4 linked regions of the Rattus norvegicus genome follow. The protein of the gene in region 1 interacts with the protein of each later gene in a pairwise test. Links are inferred from orthologs where the notes say so. Each region holds a gene or a part of one and is shown in the gene's direction. Other genes may lie near its edges.

The links.
Region 2: the proteins of Amotl2 (region 1) and Nfil3 interact in binary tests that used the Homo sapiens proteins (3 or more experiments, as listed by UniProt). The two-hybrid records come from large-scale screens. The link is inferred for Rattus norvegicus from reciprocal best matches to the Homo sapiens genes AMOTL2 and NFIL3.
Region 3: the proteins of Amotl2 (region 1) and Krt20 interact in binary tests that used the Homo sapiens proteins (3 or more experiments, as listed by UniProt). The two-hybrid records come from large-scale screens. The link is inferred for Rattus norvegicus from reciprocal best matches to the Homo sapiens genes AMOTL2 and KRT20.
Region 4: the proteins of Amotl2 (region 1) and Brms1l interact in binary tests that used the Homo sapiens proteins (3 or more experiments, as listed by UniProt). The two-hybrid records come from large-scale screens. The link is inferred for Rattus norvegicus from reciprocal best matches to the Homo sapiens genes AMOTL2 and BRMS1L.

Annotation. Positions count from the first base shown.
Region 1 is NC_086026.1:112,181,009-112,186,048, forward strand, and holds the start of Amotl2 (angiomotin-like protein 2), read left to right. Parts: upstream 1-1,617; 5' UTR 1,618-1,705; intron 1,706-1,814; exon of another isoform or gene 1,815-2,475; intron 2,476-3,839; coding exon of another isoform or gene 3,840-3,901; coding exon 3,902-4,632; intron 4,633-5,040. UniProt on the Homo sapiens protein: Regulates the translocation of phosphorylated SRC to peripheral cell-matrix adhesion sites. Required for proper architecture of actin filaments.
Region 2 is NC_086035.1:12,430,834-12,435,808, forward strand, and holds the start of Nfil3 (nuclear factor interleukin-3-regulated protein), read left to right. Parts: upstream 1-1,542; 5' UTR 1,543-1,673; intron 1,674-2,495; exon of another isoform or gene 2,496-2,934; intron 2,935-3,330; exon of another isoform or gene 3,331-3,532; intron 3,533-3,551; exon of another isoform or gene 3,552-4,975.
Region 3 is NC_086028.1:84,886,853-84,891,993, reverse strand, and holds the start of Krt20 (keratin, type I cytoskeletal 20), read left to right. Parts: upstream 1-1,708; 5' UTR 1,709-1,741; coding exon 1,742-2,152; intron 2,153-4,374; coding exon 4,375-4,457; intron 4,458-5,141. UniProt on the Homo sapiens protein: Plays a significant role in maintaining keratin filament organization in intestinal epithelia. When phosphorylated, plays a role in the secretion of mucin in the small intestine.
Region 4 is NC_086024.1:79,000,069-79,005,235, forward strand, and holds the start of Brms1l (breast cancer metastasis-suppressor 1-like protein), read left to right. Parts: upstream 1-1,734; 5' UTR 1,735-1,857; coding exon 1,858-1,999; intron 2,000-5,103; exon of another isoform or gene 5,104-5,167. UniProt on the Homo sapiens protein: Involved in the histone deacetylase (HDAC1)-dependent transcriptional repression activity. When overexpressed in lung cancer cell line that lacks p53/TP53 expression, inhibits cell growth.

The DNA of each region.
Region 1 (5,040 bases):
TTTATTTACTTCATCTTATAGGTATGCTATACTTTGCTTGCATGTGTGATCGACAACCACGTGGGTGCCTGGTACCAGCATAATTCAGAACTGCCTATCAGATAGCCTGGAACTGGAGTTACAGATGCTTGTGAACCACCAGGTGGGTGCTGGGACCCGTAGGCACATCCTTTGTAAAGGCAGCAAGGGTGGTTAACTCCTAAGGAATCCCCGCCACACACACACACACACACACACACACACACACACACACTCTTAAAGGAAAGCTTTATGCAAAACTAGTCACATCCCTGGCTATTGAGTTTGAAAGGTTTCCCATCCTTGGTCTACTCCAGCAAAGTTGGGAATTGAGATCGCTGTGCTGAGGAAAGGAGGGGAGGACCTGGCCAGCCCACGGCAGAAATCTAGGCCGATTCTAGGTGAATGGGATTGAGGAAGGAATGCATGCCGACCGGGAGCTCTAACCAGAGGAGGGAGGAGGAGGGGAGTCAGAAATGACAGACAGAGGAGTCCATTCCACACTAAAGTAGAACACCAGAAGCCAGAGAAGGGGAAGACAAAGAGGGCTGGCTAGGTGTAGACAAATTGGAAAAGATTGGAACTGGGGACAGGTAGGTGGAAGCAGAGACTCTCTGGGCCCGCCTTATCAGGCTAGGGTACCCGGATTCCGAAGACCAAGAAAAGAGTCCTGGCTTCATCAGCTATTCTCTGTGTGACCCTAGGTAAGTTATTAAACTCTCTGAGCCTTGGTTTCTTATTTATTACAGAGATAATGAGAGCACGGTTGGAGAGTGACTAGAATCTTATGGCCGAGTAAAGAGCAAGTGGTGACCCGCCTTGTGCTTGACTTAAAGCTGAACGGAGCTGGGGAGAAGTTAGAGAGAGTGCCCAGTGAGTGGCTGATTCATTTGGGTAGTGGGTTAAATCCACCAGATTTTCAACCCAGATTCACACACTTCCTGTAGAGGCGGGATCTAAAAGAGCTGGCGAAGGTGTTTGTAAACAATAAAAGTGCAATTCAAAGTTTGCCGCTGGGGGGTGAAATAGTAGGGGTTAGGAAAGAGGCTGGGCAGCTGCGGGCCGAAGCATCGGTTGGTTCGCCTGCAACACGGCCCAAGCTGGGCGGATGTAAAGTGCTTTGCAGTCCTCCCGCCATCTCCAAAAAGCCACAGACCCCTCTTGCAGCCACCACCGGGCGTTCGAGGCTTATCCCTGGAAGTCGTCCCTCGGTGCATGTAAGGATGACGGGTGAGAACCGGGTGCGGACAGTGGTGGGGCGATCTTGGGACCAGTTGGTTAAGACACCCCCAACAGCTAGGACAGCAAGGCAGAAGGCAGGGAATGCCGTACGGCCCCAGAGCCCAGGGTGGCACAAGGGGACAAGGCTGAGGCCAGCCCAGCCGCCGGCCGCAGCGCCGCCTCCCCGGAGGAAGGCGGGGGCTGGGCCAGGAGGCGGGGGGAGGCGGAGAGCGGAGGAGGGCGGCGCGCTGAGAGGTTATTTGTGGTTCGCTTTGATCCCGAGGGGGAACCTGAAACTCTCACATTCCTGGCATAGCAGCCGCCTCCAGCGCGGGCTGACCTAGAGGCTGCGCACTGGGGCGCGAGCAAGCAGATCGTCGGCGCCACCGACGAGTGCGCACCTCCGTTGCCGACCGTACCTAAGCCGAACCCGGTCTGCGTGCGCCGGCAGCCGCGGGCCGCAGCGGTAAGCAAGGCGCCTGGCGCTCCGGGTAGTGCGCGAAGCCTGCGGGGACGCTTCCCAGCGGCACCCGGACACCGCGATCAGCCCGACTCTTTCTGGAGATCGGAGCTGGAGTGGAGGAGCCTCCCCGGGGAGGGGACACTGTGCACCCTTTCGAGGATTGATCCTGGGTGTCTGTCTAGCCTAGGCTGCTCGCGCTTTTGTGGGGGTGAGGACACGATTCTCCGACCCACTGGGGCTGGAGGAAGGACAGAGGATCAGTGTTTGGGAGTGTGCGTCTCGTACGGGGCAAGTGAATAGCTGCTGTAGGCATATCTCGCCGAATACGGGGTCACCGTGATTGCTTTGTCTAGATTGGGGATACAGGTGGCTTTTACCGTCAGCTAGATCAAGAATTCCTCTTTGTCTTCCTTGGAAAATCCTCTCCGGAGCCACGAACTGGCTCTCACTTAGAAAGAATGCAGCCTGCTGTCCAGTCCGGTGACGTCAGCGCTGAAGTATTTGGAAAACAAAGAGGGTTAGGGAGAGAGGCGGACCCGCGATGCTTAAAGACCTCTCGCGGGTGTGGGTTTTGCTTGCCCGGGGCACTCGGGCAACCACCAGTGCTAGTGGTCCACCTCGGTGGAGGTGGGAAACGCGGGAACCCTGGTCTGGCTGACTTAGAGACTAGCGTTGGTTCTTTTTGCTGGAGGGAGCCCGAGCCAAGGCCAGAGAAGCATGTTTGCTTAGAAAGGTAGCTGGTTTTCCGAGTGCAGTGTTCCAGAGCAGCCCAGGTACAACGTCCGAGTAAGGAAGCTGATTTTTAGAAATTGCTCAACCCTAAGAATTTGAAAGATTGTGCATCTAGGGGATTAGATTGGGACGTGTGTGTGATGAGAGGCCTCGGAAATGTTCCGTGCTCCCGGGGAGCCTGGCTCATAGTTGGCGCGCCTGGAATCTGTCGGGAAGGCTTTGCATTCCTTCTAGCCGCTCCCGGATCCTCCTTAGCGGGAGTCAGCCCAGACAGTGATTAACGTAGGAAATGCCGCGTAGAAAAAGCTGCGTGCGAACAGTCTCAAGTCTTACACATTGTAGGGTGCAGCTGGGGTGGGGGTGGGGGTATTAGTTGCCGGCTTGGGTGCCCTCGGGGCTCATTACCAACATACCATTCAGGGCTCTGCCAACACATCATTCCCAAAGTGGGGCTGCACACTGGGGATAGCACGGAAGAGAAAGGGGCCACATCCCCACGAGCCCTTCCTTCGTCTTCCCCCTCACCTCATTACCCCATCAACTGGCATAGGTGGTCGTTACTAATATCAACAGAGATACAGAGGGTCATCCCCTGTGTACCTCTAGGGTACAAGTAGAGGCTTTTCTAAGTTTGTATGTGTGTGTGTGTGAAGAAAGGAGGAGGAGGATCAATATTTTGCTGGCTCAATTACTGCAGTCACACCTCTGCCTCACCAGTTCACATGCAGCTTCTCAGGCTGCTCACCTTGCAGAGTGACTGCGAAGGTCATCTGTGACAAGGATTTATTTTATCTGCAGCCCAGGGTCCGACTCCTGGAAGAGAAGCCAGTGGAGGGTGGTGGACTATGGTGGCTCAAGCCTCCTCATTCGAAACAGTCAATGGAGTCATTTGCTTAGGGCTTCTTTCTACTGGGCTACATTCTGTCTTTGGCCACTCTGCGAGTAAACTGAGGTCCTACTGCTTAAGTGGTTGAATTTGATGGACACCTGTCCTGGGGTCACTCGTGAGAGCGTTTGGGGGTAGTGGCTGATTGTAGGCGAGTGTGATTATTAGATAACCTTCAGGTTTTCTGTTGTATTTCTGTGGTCTCCATACATGTCCTTAGAATGGTAAGCATTTGCCAAGGATTTATAGCATGCCAGGCGTTCTACCTCTTACATTTCAACTCCCAAGAGGCACACACACACACACACACACACACACACACACACACACACACGGCAGACTAAGATCAGAAGCTCAGTAACTAAACTTAATCAATTGATGGCCATATTGGCACTTGGATCTGGGCCTGTGTAAAACCACCCAACTATCTCACCTTCTCCTTCATCCAGAGTGTTTTGGCAAGTGCCCCTCCCTCCTTTGTATGTGCTTCCACTGACTGCTATTCTTTCTGTCTGTTAGGTGCTCTGAGACCAGGTGCCTGCTGGCCATTGTCTAGGCAGGTGTGTGCAAGCCAGAGAAGCATGAGGACACTGGAAGACTCCTCAGGGACAGTCCTGCACCGCCTCATCCAGGAGCAGCTGCGCTACGGCAACCTGACAGAGACTCGCACTCTGTTGGCCATCCAGCAGCAGGCCCTGCGGGGTGGGGCTGGAGCTGGGGGCACAGGGAGCCCCCAGGCCTCCCTGGAGATCGGAGCACCCGAGGACAGTCAGGTGCTACAGCAGGCCACCAGGCAGGAGCCCCAGGGCCAGGAGCATCAGGGTGGAGAGACCCACCTGGCAGAGAACAGGCTGTACCGACTCTGCCCACAGCCCAGCAAGGGAGAAGAGCTGCCCACCTATGAGGAAGCCAAAGCCCATTCGCAGTACTATGCAGCGCAGCAGGCAGGCTCCCGGCTGCATGGTGGGGACCGGGATCCTAGAGGGGCCTCAGGAGGCAGCCGACGTCAGGATGAGGCTCTTCGAGAGTTGAGGCACGGCCATGTGCGCTCCTTGAGTGAACGACTTCTGCAGCTGTCCCTGGAAAGAAATGGTGCCCGGGTCCCCAGCCACATGAGCTCTTCCCACAGTTTCCCTCAGCTGGCCCGCAGCCAGCAAGGTCCCCAGCCCCGAGGACCCCCAGCTGAGGGCCCGGAGCCCCGTGGGCCACCACCTCAGTACCCACACGCTGTAATGGCTCAGGAGACTGCGGCTGTCAATGACCCAAGATACCGTCCGAGAAGCAGCCCACACTTCCAGCATGCTGAAGTCAGGTAACCTTGGGTTTCTTCTAGTTCAGTGTCCCAGGAGGAGAACCCCAATATCATACATGTCGAGGATCTCAACTTTCATGTCATGATCCCGATCCCAGGGCACCCCCATCAGCTCCTGGGGCTGTCTGATGTAAATCTACTCTCTTTTTTTTTTTTCCTTCGGAGCTGGGGACCGAACCCAGGGCCTTGCGCTTCCTAGGTAAGCGCTCTACCACTGAGCTAAATCCCCAACCCCAATCTACTCTCTTTTGTCTTGAGAAGGGAGGGCTGGTGGCTGGAGGGATGGGAGGACTTAGCTGATCCAGTTATGGAAGCACATGCCTGAAATATTTAGGTGAGGCAGGAAGATCACAAGTTGACCACCATCCTGGGCTAAGTAGCAAGACTGTCTAAAACAAAAAGAAACTG
Region 2 (4,975 bases), on another chromosome or scaffold:
GACTTTGAATTTCTGATCTTGCTGCCTGTACCCTCTGAGTGCTCGGATGACAGACACGCACCATTGTGTCTGTTTCATATGCTTCTGGGAGTTGGACCCAGGCCTTCACGACTGATAGGCAAGCGCCTTACCAACTGAGTCACAATTAGCCCAGTGCTTTACATATTTTTAAATATATTACATTTATTATTTATATTTTTTATGATGCATTACGTGTGTGCATCCACTCAAACCCACACCATGGTTGGTGCACATATGGAGGTCACAGGGACAACTTTAAGGTCTCAGTTGTCCCCTTCCACCATTTGAATCCTAGAGCTCAAACACAGGTGTCAGGCTTGGTGGCAAGTTCCTTTTCCCACTAAGCCATCTCATTGTAAAAGAAAATCAATCCCTTGCCAACATGGAAAAGCAGAATCTTTCTCTCTCTCTCTCTCTCTCTCTCTCTCTCTCTCTCTCTCTCTCTCACACACACACACACACACACACACACACTTACACACATACACACACACTTACACACATACATACACACTCACACACACTCACACACATGCACACTCTCACACACACACACAAACCCACTCACACACACACTTACACTCACATACATGCACACACACACACTCACACACATACATACACACTCACGCACACACTCACATACACTCACACACTCTCTCTCTCTCTCTCTCACACACACACACACACACACACACACACACACACACAGGTATTTTTAATGTCAACTTTTGAAAACTCGGAGCCATGGCCCCCCTGATCTGATACGGTAACGGTGGTGTCAGAGTCCACAGGTGGCTCACCTTCTGAACCCCCATAAAGTACTAGGTGTATATATCAAGGTCCAAGGCAAGAGCCTCTGGACGCCAGGCTAAAGTCGTGTAACCAGGGTTAGACCTGGGCTCGATGCCCAACGCTGTGAAAGGAAAACCCCTCGGATGCCTAGGTCAGAGTACTCTAGACCCTCTGGCTGGACACGCCCTGAAACTTTTCTCAGAAAGAGCCACATTCTCACCACGCTCTCCTCTCACACCCCTTACATTGGCTGCTCAGAGAGTGCTTCAGAGGTGTATAAGCACAAAAGTGATCACCTCTCCTTGGCTCCTGCATCCAAACCCAATTCCAGCTCTGAAACGAACCAGCCGCTCTGAGTAAGAACGTTTTGAGCTTGACTGCCGTACTTCAGTTAGAGCCCTCCAGCCTTTTCCTATTCAGGAGACCCTACTTACAGCCTGTTCTGGAATTAGCACACTGGCGACCTGGGGAAGGTTCTCCCGTCCCAGGTTTATCTTTCGATTTTCTTCTAGTTCGACTAATTGCAAGCACTTGCCCACTAGGTGGACCCCCAGGGTATAACACCAGACACATCATCCCCCAGGTCCTGAAGACTGAACCTCCAACACTTTGTTGAGCTGCATTTTTAAAGCAGCAGACGGCGCTAACGAGTTGTTTTCCAAGTTGATATCAGAGACATCTTTCACACTTCCTCTGATTTCCAAGTTAGATGGCAAATGACGGAAGCACGAATGTGGTGGAGGCTCAGTGTGGACTGCCCCCCGGGAATGAAGACAGGCATCAGATTTCAAAATTCAGTCGAAAGAACAGCTTCGTGGGTCACAGCCATCCGTTCGTTCCTCCGCTGGCAACCTTGGGTGAGTCAGGCAAGTTCAGTTGGCTTTTTGTGAAAAAAAAAACGTTACTCCTCGATTCTACCTACTCAGGGATCCTATGACATCATTAAATTCCAGAAAAGTGGAACTGATTAACCAAGTCAAGACTCGTTTACATCAAGGCAGTGAGTTCCTCGGAAAAACAAAAACAAAGCAAAAAGTGGAAAGGGGCGGTGTGTTTCCTGAACTGGTCAGGAACCCGCCAAAGGAGATTTACCATATATTGCCTATCTGTGCTGTGGGGGCTTTATTTGGTTACGGGGTATTTTACCAGCTAGACCTCATCGTTAATGCCCTGTGAAGGCGTCCAAAAGTCCAACGGCGAATGGTACTTAAGTCAGTGTGCCTCGGAGATTATCTGTGTAGTTACTGTGTGCCTGGGGTAAATGGAAAGGGATCCACTTAGTGAGATGTTCCGGGTGGGGGCCCGCGCACTCGCTCTTTACTTTGGGGTTTGCTTTCTTAAAAAAAAAAAATGAGAAAGGAGGCGGGGGGGGGGTAGAGTGAGGGAGTCATTCGAGCCCAGATCTCACAGTCCGAGCTCAAGGACCTCGCCACCTGCCACATTCCGTATTTGGGCAAGCGCGTGCGTCACTGTCAGGAATATGGCTCCCTTTGCCAAGGCCGGCACTAATTTTACGTGTCTGTAAACGCGGGGAGTGTTTGCCACGTTCCTTTACAATAGCCAACCTGATGACTGACTTAAGAACACGCCGCCAGATGCCTTGTCTCCCGTTTCCTTATGTCTTTTGTACATCCCAGGAATTGGGGGGCGGGGAGGAGAGCTGGCTGGCTGGCTAGCTGGCCTGTTCACTGGAAGCAGAAACGACAGAGAGCTACCAGCTCAAGATGCTTCGGGGAGTGCCCTCTGTGGCTCGCTCAAGCCTGAGCACCGAAGATGGGTGGGCGTCCCAGCCCGGCGCACCGGGGACCGCGGACCCTCAGGTCCTCGGACACCGTCGCCACTTCCCCACGTGGTCGGGGACGCAGACCGACTAGGTCTAGCCTGGTTTCCCAACCGTGTTACGCAACAACTTTGTAGGGGTCGTCTTCGCCCTAATTGTGTCGGGAGCGCTGTTTGGGTTGCCGTTGCGGCGCGAGAGGAGCGGAACATTTCAGTCGTGGCGCTGCACGGCTGCCGCGCCCCTTTCCCGATCTCAGAGGGACCATGGGCACAAGGAGGCCAAGGTCCCTGCCACGCCCGGGTCCCCATAGCCTTCACCCGGAGTTCTATTGGCAACAGGTAGCCCAGCCGGCTGTGACTCTCCGGGAAACAAAAAAAAAGGTGCTGCACAACCGAGCGAGCGCAGCGACCCGGAGGGCGCTGCCAGTAATGGGCAAAGGGGTCCTGGGCTCCTCCCAGTTGTGCCCTGGTTGCTCCGCGGTGCGTCCCGTTGCGCAACAGAGCTCTCGGAGTGGGTCCCCACGGACAGAGGGTAGCAGCTGCGGCCGCGGCCAGAGAAGGACGCGGACTGGCGGTGGCGCCGCGGCGGAGAAGACGGGGCGGGGCGGGGCGGGGCGGTGGGGAGCCCGCCCCTGTCGGCGCGGCCAGTGGCGGCGGGCCGGGGGCGGGCGCGGGCGCGGCGATTGGGGCGGCGGCCGCCCGTCACGGCGGGGCTGGCGGGCGGCGACGTAGCGCGGCGCTCGGAACTGACCTACTAACACACATCTCTCGGCGCGGCCACGGCGCCCGCGGACCCGGCGCGCCCGCCCGTCTCCCGCGCCGCGCCCTCGCCACCACCCGCTGAGGGCCGGGTGGAGCTCGAATCGCGTCTCGGAGCCGCCAGCCCGGTACCAGCTGCCCTTTCTTTTCTCCTCACGGACTAGGGAGCAGAACCACGGTAAGCGCTCCGCCCACCGGCGGCCCGGGGGGCCCAGCTCCGATCCGTGCCCGCTCTTGGAGCGCGCGGCCGGCTGGCGTGGGGCGCGGGACGCGTGCGGGCGCGGCGCAGGGCTGGCGGGAGGCGGCGAGTGTGCGCGGGGCATGCATTACATAAACTTTTGCTGCCTTGGCAGGAGGGGGACTCGCCACCTTAAGGTAGCTGCTTTGATTGCAGCGCCCTGGCGCCCGCACGTAGCCGGGGCTGCCGCGGGCTCCCTCCTCCTCCCCGCTATTGCATAATGTCTCCGGATTTCAGGAAAATTGATGTTTCGGTGGCGAAGAGCGCGCCGGGGAGGCGGAGTGGAGGCCGATCCTTTTAGCAGCCTGACGTGCCCTGCTCTCCGGGGTCTCTCCGCGCTAGTCCCCAATCCGGGCCGGCCAGTGGGAGGGTTGAGTCTTGGGGAGCCGTCTTGATTTGCTTAGGAGGGTTGGGAGTGCGAACGGTGACGGCAATCGGAGGTGCCTGCGCGGCGTTTGTTTGTGTCAGGCGCTGTGTCGGCACCGACGTTTTCCAACCCGTTTGTCGTCACCGTGTTTTACGAGCCCTCGGGAAGGTGGAGGGATGTGTCCTTTCTTACGTTGCATAATGGGCTAGCGGTGAAACGTGGGCACCGAGGACGAGCTGATGTGAGAATGTGCGCCTATGTGTGCAATGATTTGGTCATTTTAGCGCAGCGTTTGGTGCCTCTGTATCGTCCCAAATAAGCATATTTTAAAAACGAGTCTATGAAATTCATTATTAAGAAAGGAGAAATCCTAGTGTTGGACACTAATGCGCGCGGGAGGGCGAGTTGGGGGGGGGGGCTCCTTAAATGTTCCGAGGTGTTATTTTTAAAACCCGGAGGAGCCATTGTGACGTTTGCCTCCCCACTTTTCCCAACCGTTTCATCAGCTTTTTTTTTCTTCTCACCTTATCGTCATTGGCTTTTTTTTTTTTTTTAATAAAGACACCACAAGACAAATCATTAATAGATTCCTGGAAATGTGAGGTTACGTAACTGCCGAATTTGCTGGCTGTTGAGCATAGAAAGGGAGCTAATTACGTGATTTTATAATCTTGCCACAAAGAAAGTAGGGCAATCTCAGCGTTTAAGAATGTCACAATCAACAGGGGTTTTGTTGGTTCTTTTAAAGGATATTTTAAGCCGGAAAGTGACGACCAACTAAGCTTTGACATAGCTCGTGCTTGCCAAATGGGTGTCTTTTACCCTAAATGAAATGTACGTCTTTCTAAATTTAGCCCCATCACATTTTAACAATCCTGGCCTCGGTGCTATTTCTGGTTTCTCCAGGGCTGTGTGCAAATACGAGCTCAAGGCCATTTGCTGTAGTTTTAACTCCACGCCTTCCAAGACCTCTGATAAGACTGTATTTTTAGGAAGGCATTTCGCAGCGCCCAGTG
Region 3 (5,141 bases), on another chromosome or scaffold:
GAAAGGGAGTCTGTGTGGAAGCTCTTGCTCCAACCTAGGGAGTGCTCACCATCAGCCCCCTCATCTCATCAGCTGGTGAGGCGCAGCCCACAAGGGTGTGTGGAGGAAGCAGCAAAGTCCGCTTGGACACGGATTCACCCTCCAGAAGGAATGTTCCTACTCAAACCAATCAATAGGCTGAATGGCTGGGGCTCAGAATAATTGCCCTCTTAATCAGCGACTTCTGGGAAGTTATGTGTGAGTCCCATAACCCTGCAACCTTCTTTCTCTTTCCCAGGGTTGGGGGGAAGGGGTGGGGGAAGGAGGAGGCAGCAGGGGGAAGGGAGGGGGGAAAACACTCTCAGGGAACCACTGCACTGATCTGCAAGGTGACACAAGCTTCTGCATCTGGGACAGATCGGTGTCCTAAGAGGCAGCTCCTGCAGGCATCCTCAGGAAGGCAGAAGCAGAGTCTCCTGGTGGTATCTAGCTGGCCTCAGACAGGAGAAGCAGGCTCCCACACACAACAGGCCAGGTATTAAAAACGGGAGTTTCTCAACAATTTCAGTTTTTAAAAGCATTTTTCAACCATTTAGATGCTAATACTTAAAAATATTTGCAAGATTTCTATAATAAGTTTGCTTTTTTTAAATAAGGCTAACCTAGGAGTTCCTGGCAGTTGCAGGCTGCTGGGAGCCAGGACGAGGTTCTATGACCACGGACAGGTTGTCCACACCCCCATAGTTGGCCCCACACCCACAGTCATACAGGCAACACTAATTAGATTCAGGTTTTTTTTTAAAGAAAAATGAAAAAGGCATGAAGTTGTGTGGGATCTGGGTGCAGTTGGAGAGGCGAGTCTGGGAGGATATTACATTGCATATTCACGGATGAAATTACCCAAAAACACTATTTAAAATATCTTTAAAAAAAAAACACTCCGAAATCAACTGATCCACCGCCTACCGATACTCATTTACATATTCACCTACTGACTATACTCAGTTCTCAAATTCTTGGTGAGTGGGTTTGTGCACCTCAAGACAGGGTCTTGTTACACAGCACTGGGCTAGACTTCACTCCTTACTTCAGCCAGGCTGGCCTCAAACTTGTCCTGATCCCCCTGCCTCTGCTTCCCAGCGGCTGGAATCACAGGTGCTCACCAGCCTACCCAGCTCCACTCAAGATATTTCAATAGACTGTAAACGTAAGTTCTAAACAAGGATAAACTTAAAAGTAAAAATAAAAAAAAATTTTTTAAAGAGCCTGAAACAAAGCGTTTTCTTTTCAAATTCATCATCATTGGAACAAGCCATTGTCTTTTCTCACCAGTGTGACTTACTTTATGCTCCCACAGCTGCCTTGTTCAGCGCCTAAATTATTCATATAGATTGTAAATATTCTTTATTTGTATACGGGGAGAGAGGGAAAAACCCGCCAGGGCAGGTGCAAGACCTGAAAGAACACCCCTTCCTCGTCCTTTTTGTTACCTCTGTTTATTAAAAAGAAACCACCACCACCACCACCACCCCCAGAAAGCCTTTAAGAAGTGCCTCTAGTGGTAATTTCTAGAATGGAATAAAACCATATTTCCGTACAAAAGAGGGGGAGGGGAGGTAGGAAGGTGGACTGTGTCATTTCTGAGGTGACACTGCAGCAGGGGAGGAGTCTCTTGAACTCTATAAAAGGTTAGCGCCACAGCACCGTGAGACAGGCTGTGTGCTCCAACTCCAGGCTACAGGTGTTGCCTCCCGGGATCAAGATGGACTTCAGTCGTCGAAGTTTCCACAGAAGTCTGAGTTCCTCCTCACAAGGCCCAGCACTCAGCACGAGTGGCTCCCTGTATAGAAAGGGGACCATGCAGCGTCTGGGGGTTGCACCCAGCGTCTACGGTGGGGCTGGAGGCCACGGCACCCGCATCTCTGTCTCCAAAACCACAATGAGCTACGGGAACCATCTCTCCAACGGAGGGGACCTGTTTGGGGGCAATGAGAAATTGGCAATGCAGAACCTCAATGACAGATTGGCAAGCTACCTAGAAAAAGTGCGCTCCCTGGAGCAATCCAATTCCAAACTTGAAGCCCAGATCAAGCAGTGGTACGAAACCAATGCACCGAGCACCATCCGGGACTACAGTTCCTACTACGCACAGATCAAAGAGCTGCAAGATCAGGTGAGCCATGAAGTCCGTGATTTCTACCTCACTGTTCAGTTGCCTAATAGATTAAGAGAGATGTACGCTAGGTGAATTCAAACACATGAAGCAGATTAGGTCGGAATTTATAACTGAAAAAATGCATCTTATCTCGTGGTATCTGTCAACAGGATGGGTTTAACCCATGCTTTTTCTAAAACTTCAACCTAATTGCATATAAAATATGACCATTTTATCATCCAAGATCGCAGCCTATATCTTTGTCTATGATTTACAATATAAGGTCTTCGTTGTGAATGATCTTATTTTTTTCAGAGACCTGCCAGGGTTTCTGTGAGTTTGCTACTTGTCTTCACTAACTCGGAAGACTCAAGTCAACTTGAAGAGATTTTTCATCTTTCGTTATATGAATGTTATAATAAAAGTATTAACCTACTATGGGAATAAATAACAAAAGGCTCCAGGGTGGACACAATACAGATATTAATGATATCTATACTGATTGATAAATGGTTGGATGATAGATGATTGGATGGATGGATAGATGGAAGGAAGGGGGAGGAAGAAAGGAAGGAAGGAAGGAAGGATTGGTCTTTGATACAAGATCTGTGTATCCCAGTTTAGTCTGGACCTCACCATCCTCCTGCCTCCACTGCCTCAGCACTGGGATTAAAGAAGTGTGCTATCATGCAACAATTCTGATACCTGGATTTTTTAATGCCTTGTTTAATTATCTCCTCACTATCAATAAGCATTTTATAATGCATCTGTGCGATAATGAAATGTTCTATTGCCCCCAATTCAACTTTATTACAGTCATATCACCATCTGCTCCTGTATCATCCACGGTAGGTGGGGTTCTCCTTTTTATAAAGGCAATGGCATAAGAGTTGGAGACTTTGCTCCTGACTAAGGAGGTCAGCATTAGCACGTACCATTGGCTTAGCTCCGGGGTTCTTATCTAATCAAGAAAGGCCTCCCCTTTGGTTTTGTTTATATCTTAAAGTTATTACCCCTTTAGAGCAAAGACCTTTGACTGAGCCAGGGGCCTCTTCCTGGGTTATATGACAGACATCAGTGCAGCTTAACTTCAGACTTTACAGACCACCAAGCTATGGTGCTCACATTACTTCATCACCAGGACCGTACTTCGGGCTTTTTGATACAACACAAAATTCAAATTAAGCACTTCTCACAAGGTCGATGCTTCTGAATTGACATGGGGATTTTCTGTGATACTGAGGCACAGCCCTCAGTGTCCAGTAGTTTGAGGCCTATCGAGTGGCCTCTCGCCAGGAATAGCCACTGAGAGGGATATGCCACTCTACTATCTTCTAGAAGTAGACTTCTAATTCTCATCCATCTTAAAGAACACGGTGTTTGCCTTGAAACACGAGAACCTGAGTTCAGTCCCCAGATTAAAAAACAAAACTGGAGAATGTGTGCTTGTACTCCCTGCGATGGGGGAGTGGAGACAAGCAGACCCCTGGGACTTGCTGGTCATCCAGCCTGGCCTAATTGGTGAGCTCCAAGACACTGAGAGACCCGGCCTCACCCCCCAAAATGGTAGCACTTAAGGAATAGCATGCAAGGCTGTCCCTTGACCTCCGCATACGCACACACAGAGAAAGATGCACATGGATCCAGGGTGCACCCATCCTTCTGTCCTGTGCCTAACTCGCACAGACAGCAAGTTCCCATTCAGCCACTACTGCATAGACACCGGCTGGGTCCTGAGCAACACACATGGCGAACAATGACAGCACATGAAGTGTCTGACGTGAAACAGGCCCGGACCAAAGAAACCATCACTGAAAGGGTAGATGCAGGGATGCTGTGGGGGCAACAGCAGCAGGGGTGCATTCGCTGCCAGAACTGGAAGATGTCATGGGGTGGGGGACTTCGAAACAGTGTTGTCTGAGCTGAGGGGAAGGAGCTCGAGCTCACCAGGTAAGAAGGGTTAACAGCAAGGCTCCAGTGTGAGCAGTGTCACAAACAAGGCGCTCAAAAAGGTCCAGCGATGTGGGTGACTTCAGCTTTCATTTCGTATGATCAGAAAAAAACTAGGCCAAGCCACTACACTAATTCCTCTGTCACTGTTCCTCTTGTTCTCCCACGGTCATTCTTGAAACGAACATCACTTATGATGGAATCACAGTTGTCTCTGAGGACCAATGAAATTACCTTACACTCCTTCCCAAAGGGAAAATGTCATTCTTTTTTCCTCTCACATTTCCCAGATTAAGGATGCTCAAATAGAAAACGCCCGATGCGTCTTGCAAATTGACAATGCTAAGCTGGCCGCAGAGGACTTCAGATTGAAGTAGGTTCTCTAAATGGTGTGTGTGTGTGTGTGTGTGTGTGTGTGTGTGTGTGTGTGTGTGCGCGCGCGCGCGCGTGTGTGTGTGTGTGCTGTGAACAGATGCCATGACCAAGGCAACTCTTATAAGGACAACATTTAATTGGGGCTGACTTACAGGTTCAGAGGTTCAATCTATTATCATCAAGGTGGGAACATGACAGCATCCAGGCAGGCATGGTGCAGGAGGAGCTGAGAGTTCTACATCCTCATCTGAAGGCTGCTAGCAGAATCCTGACTTCTAGGTAGCTAGGACTAGGGTATTAAAACTCCCACCCACGGTAACACACCTACTCCAACAAGGCCACTCCTCCTAATAGTGACACTCCCTGGCCCAAGCATATACAAACCATCACAGTGGGGTGTCATTTGGGTTTCTGTTTTTGAGATAGGTCCTTGCTTTGTAATACAAGCTGGCCCCAAAGTCAGCATCCTCCTGACTCAGCCTCTAAAGACATGGAATTACAGATGTCTTCCATAATACCCAATACCATGATAAATTCTTCTGAAAAAAGAAATGCTTTTAGTGGTTTTTTTCCCCATTTATTTAGCATGTATGTGTATATGTGTATATGGCAGGGGGAAGGAAAGGGAGAAGGAGAGGATGGAAAGGAGAAAAAGAGAGGCAGACAGACACAGGGTGTTGCC
Region 4 (5,167 bases), on another chromosome or scaffold:
ACTGGAACCAAGGGCTTTTGCCAACAGCTGTTTTTATTTGATCTGCATTTGAGAAGCGGAACCCAAGACTAGGAGCCAGAATCCCTGCTCTCAGGAAGATGAGGCCATGCAGTGAACTCAAGACCAGCAAGACTCTGTCTGGACAAACATGCTGGTAGTCTCAGATCCTAGCAACTGGCAGGTTGCAACATAATAGCTGCCCACACACAGTAGCTGTGCTTTGCCTTGTATTTTCACACTTGATTAAAACAACCCTTGCTTTCAAGGAACTCACAGTCCTATAGGTAGCCCACGGTGGCTGAATATAGCCTGGTAGGAAAAGAAGAAGAAAAAAAGGACTAAGTACAGATCGTAGTCATTGTCTGGGAGCACGAGAGCATCTGAAATGCGGGAAATGGTGGTGGTGGTGATGGTTTGAATATGCTTGGCCCAAGGTGTGGCACTTTTAGGAGCTGTGGCCCTGTCGGAGTAGGTGTGGTCATATTAGAGGAAGTGTGTCATTATGGGCGTGGTCTTTAAGACCCTCACCCTAGCTCCCTGGAAGCCAGTCTCCTAGCAGCCTTCAGATGAGGATGAAGAACTCTCAGCTCTGCTCCCGCCTTGGTGGTAATGGACAGAACCTCTGAACCTGTAAGAAAAGGAGCAAGCTGAGAAAGGAAAAATATTTAAAGGGGCACCGGGGAGTAGAATCTATGTTCTAGGCTATAACAGATCCTACTCAGCTAAATTTAAGTCAAGGTGTGGTTTAATCCCAAGAGACAGGGCCAAGCAGATCTCTGAGCCAAGGTCAATCTACAGAGCAAGTTCCAGAACAACTAAGCTTCATTCTACTTCCTGATGTCCCTTTAATACTTGAACCATATATTTTGTTGACAAAAAAAATCAACTCATCTAACCCACACAGTGAACTTACCAAGATAACCTGATAATGAGTGAAAGTGGTCAGTTATAAGTTACGATTATTATGGTAGTTACAGCGTCATCCTTGTCTGTGTAATCCTATCTTTGAAAAAAAAAAAGACACCTTTTTAAGTCAAACATTAATTTTTCATCGGAACCTGAAATTAAATCAACGGGTAGCTTCTTCCATTAAAAAAAAAAATGTAAGAATGCAAAATTGAAATACTAAAACTTCCTTTCCCTCTATTTTTTTGGTTGAAAAAATTTCAAGAACAATTATAATTTCTCTGTGAAAATTTACAAAGTACGAATTATTTCCTACATCTACATTTCAATTTAAGTTTATTAGCCGTAATAAAAGTAATACTAATGTAGAAGAGACGATTCTGCAGCCCTCCATGCTCATAGAGTGTGCAAAAACCTTTTCAAGCAAAGGACCTTTTCACATTCTTTTCACATTTTGAGTAGCTGGGCAGATTAAATAACCAATTGGCGGGAAAAGGATAAGTACAGACCAAATCCGCGCAATCTGTTTCTGTTTAGTTTATAAACTGCGTTCCAGTATGCCAGCTTTCCTGCCTTGTGGGACTTGAAGTCCGAAGTTAAAAGTGATTGAGGCAGTTGAACCTTAGAAACCCACAGCCCGTGAAGCTCTGAGGCCTAAGGACTACAACTCCCGACATTCAGCGGAAGGCCGCGCCGTAATCACGGGTAACCAATCGTTCGCTTGCAAGGCAGGCCACGCCTCCAGCTCAGGGACAGTTTTCACCAATGGCTGAGCTCGCAGCGCACAGCCTGCGGGTTAGGTTGTGAGGCTCTGGCCGGGGGTGGGGAGGAGTCGAGGGTTTCGGAGCGAGCGAGGCGGCCGGGTGGGTCGGGGCGTTCGGCGCGCCCTTCTCTGGAGCGGCAGTGGCCGGGCTGGGAGCAGGGAGTGGGAAGCGACGGCGCGGCTGGAAAATGCCGGTCCATTCCCGAGGAGATAAGAAGGAGACGAATCATCACGATGAGATGGAGGTGGACTACGCGGAGAACGAGGGGAGCAGTTCCGAAGACGAGGACACCGAGAGCTCGTCGGTCTCCGAGGATGGGGACAGCTCAGGTGCGCGACTCAGCTGGGCGGGGATGCCGGGTCCCTTGAGCCGGGCGCGCGACAGGCCGCGGTGCTCACGCCGGGCGGCGCGTCCTGCTGGGAGCGCGGGGCGGGGAGATGGGGAAGGGGCGGGGACTGGCTTGGCCTCTGGCACCCGGAGCTGCGGGGCGCCGCGGGCTCCAGCTCCCGGTCCCGGGAAGGCTGAGCGCCTGCGGGCTTTGGGGACCCCAGGCGATTCTGTGCACCGTGGGACCCGCCCTAGGGTCACCTGGCGGTACCCTGGGGCTACCGACTGGGGAGTGGAATGTCCGGCTTGCTGATCTGGAAGACTGGAAATGCCCTTTAATTCATACCACCGACCCTTTACTAGTAGTCTCCCCAACCCTTGTCTGCATGTGTGCGGACTGAGGATAGATTTGCCTTGGTCCTTGGCGGGCTTGAAACTCATTAACCTTCACTTGCAGATCAGCCTGTCGCTAGTACTGTCATCAGAGGTCTCGAGGGGATTGACTTGGGAACTCTCCGGTTCTTTGTAGCTCTCTAAAGTTTTCAAGACCGACAAAGGACCAGCCTGAGGAATAATTTCAAATCATTGTCAGGTTTTAATCAGGACCATGTGGGCAGTGTTGACATTCCCAGAATCTTCAAGCGATGATTATTTTGTAACTTCGGGCGATTTCTTCTGCGTCTTTAATACTTGTTATTCCAACATATGACAGACTGAGAATGACTTCTTTGTCTAACCCTGGTTTGGCCATGAAAAGGGAAGCATTGATAATAGGTTAATGACAGTGTGGTATCATTCCACACTTTTTTTCTAGGTTTGTCTGTCAGAGTATACTTCTTAATGGAAGAAGGTAATGTCAATAAGTCAGCCATCCAAAAGTAAATATTTATGAGGGAGAGTTTTCACTCAGCACGAGGCAAACATTTATAGTTATTTTATCTCGGTTGAAGAACAGTATTTTGCTTACTCAATAGGACTTTTGAACACATGAATTCATTGTAGTTATGGCAGTGTGCACAAGACCTGGGCAGGCTCAATCCGGACAGAAATCCCAATAGGGTAGAGGTGGGCATGGTAGTTCCACCACTAGCAGAGCTAAGGGCATTTGTTAGTATGACCCTTGGTAGGTCAACCACACATCAGGGCAGGCAAACCAGATTGAACGCCATAGTTTTACAAAAAAGAAAAAGTAGAGGACTTGGAGTTGGGCGAATAGGGGGATGGCGGTGGTTCAGATTAACATTTTCAAAGAACTGATAAAAATATTTTAAAAGCTTGTTGTAAGTTACCACTTGATTAAGTTGCTAAACAAACAATTGAATGTACATAATGCTGTTGTTAGGAGCAGAGGACAGACTCTAGAACTACGTGGTCAGCACATTTAGTGGGGAAAGAGCCACTGTGTTGTTTTGAAGAGTTTGGGTTGGGATAGTTAAGGTGGAAAGTTCATATAGGAGAAGGAATGTAAGAAAAAGTGCAAAGGGCGGAGTTCAAGGCTTATAGAAGGATGAGAAAACAAGTTTGGTTGGGAGACCAAGAAGCTTGAAAAGGCAAAGAATGATGTAGACGTGAGAGATTTCAAAGAAGACAAAACCCAGACTCGGTGGATACAAGTTTAGGAGTGAGGTAAGAGGAAGCTCAGATACAGGGAGAGATGTGGGTAGCATCACAGCTAACCAAAAAATAAAATATGGAAATGAAGATAGAAGATGAAGTATTTTGAGCATATTGCTGTTCAGCTTGTGTGCTGTTTATGTAAGAATGTCCAAACCGACAGAAGGAATGTCGAGTTAGAACCTACCTGAGATGAGAAAAATAATTCTGAGGTCATCCGCCTTGCTGGGGACATGGGTGAAACTTCAAAATTAGCCAGTTTAACATGAAGTAGGGTAAGAGTCACATTTATACTCTATATACAGTTCGTAGAGCTGAAGTGCTTTTCTGTTGTTTTGTTTGTGGGATGTAGAGGTCAGGGTCTTGCTGTGTAGCCCAGGAGTAAAGCATTTTTATATTCAAGCATCCTTGTTTTCTTCATTTTTATTTAATTTTGTATTATTTATATGTACTTTTAAGATTTTATTTTTAATCAATTATGTGTATGTCTGTGCATAGGTACAGGTATGGGAGTGAAGGTGCCCACAGAAGAGGGCACTCACTGGATGTTTTGGAGCTGAGTTAGAAGTGGTTGTGAGCTACCTGGTGTGGTACTGGGAACCCAGCTTTCTTCCTCTGCTAGAACACAACATGCTCAGAGGCCCTGAGCTATTGGTTCAGCCTAGGCTCTTGGGTTTTAATAGGAGCCAGATTCTTATCAAATTGCATGTGTTGTGAGTCTCTTCTAAGATTTATGTTGTGGTTTTTTAAAGTATTTGTTTATTTATTATATATATGCACACCAACACCAGAAGAGGATATCAGATCTCATTACAGATGGTTGTGAGCCACCATGTGGTTGCTGGGATTTGAACTCAGGACCTTGGGAAGAGCTGTCAGTGCTCTTAACCATTGAGCCATCTCTCTAGCCCGATGCTGTGACCTTTAACATGTTTAAAAAACCTCAGCCTAGAAAATAACATAATTTACATAGATCATAATAGTAATTTAAACTAAAAGTCAATTTTTAAAGTGCAAGTAAATCATTTGAATGCATTTTGCAGTTTTACTTTTCCTATGATTATTTCTATTCTACCGAGTCTTGCATATTGCATTTTTTTTCCCTCAAACCGTGGTATTGAACAGATCCTTTGGGTATGACTTAATTCAGATTTGGAAGATTAAAAAATGTGAAGAACTAGGTTTTGTGTATGTGCATGAGCATGTGACATGTCCCTGTCACATCCCTCCTACTCCCTGTCAAACCTTGGGCTGTAAACAGCTTGGGCATGTGCTCTACCCCTGGGCTATATCTCCAGTTGAGGGACTGAGTTTTAAAGAGCTACAGAGTAAGCTATTAAGAGGCATAAATATTTTAAATTTGTTTTAGAAAACTATCATCATATACTTACCATTTACTTCCTTACTATATGAAAATAGCTGTGTATACTATAACTTTTTCATAGTTTGACCTTTTTTTCCCCCCTTCTTTCTTATGACTTTCTCTGTGTAGCCACGCCTGTTACTCTTGATCTGTAGACCAGGATGGCACTGAACTTGAGATCCGCCTGCCTCTG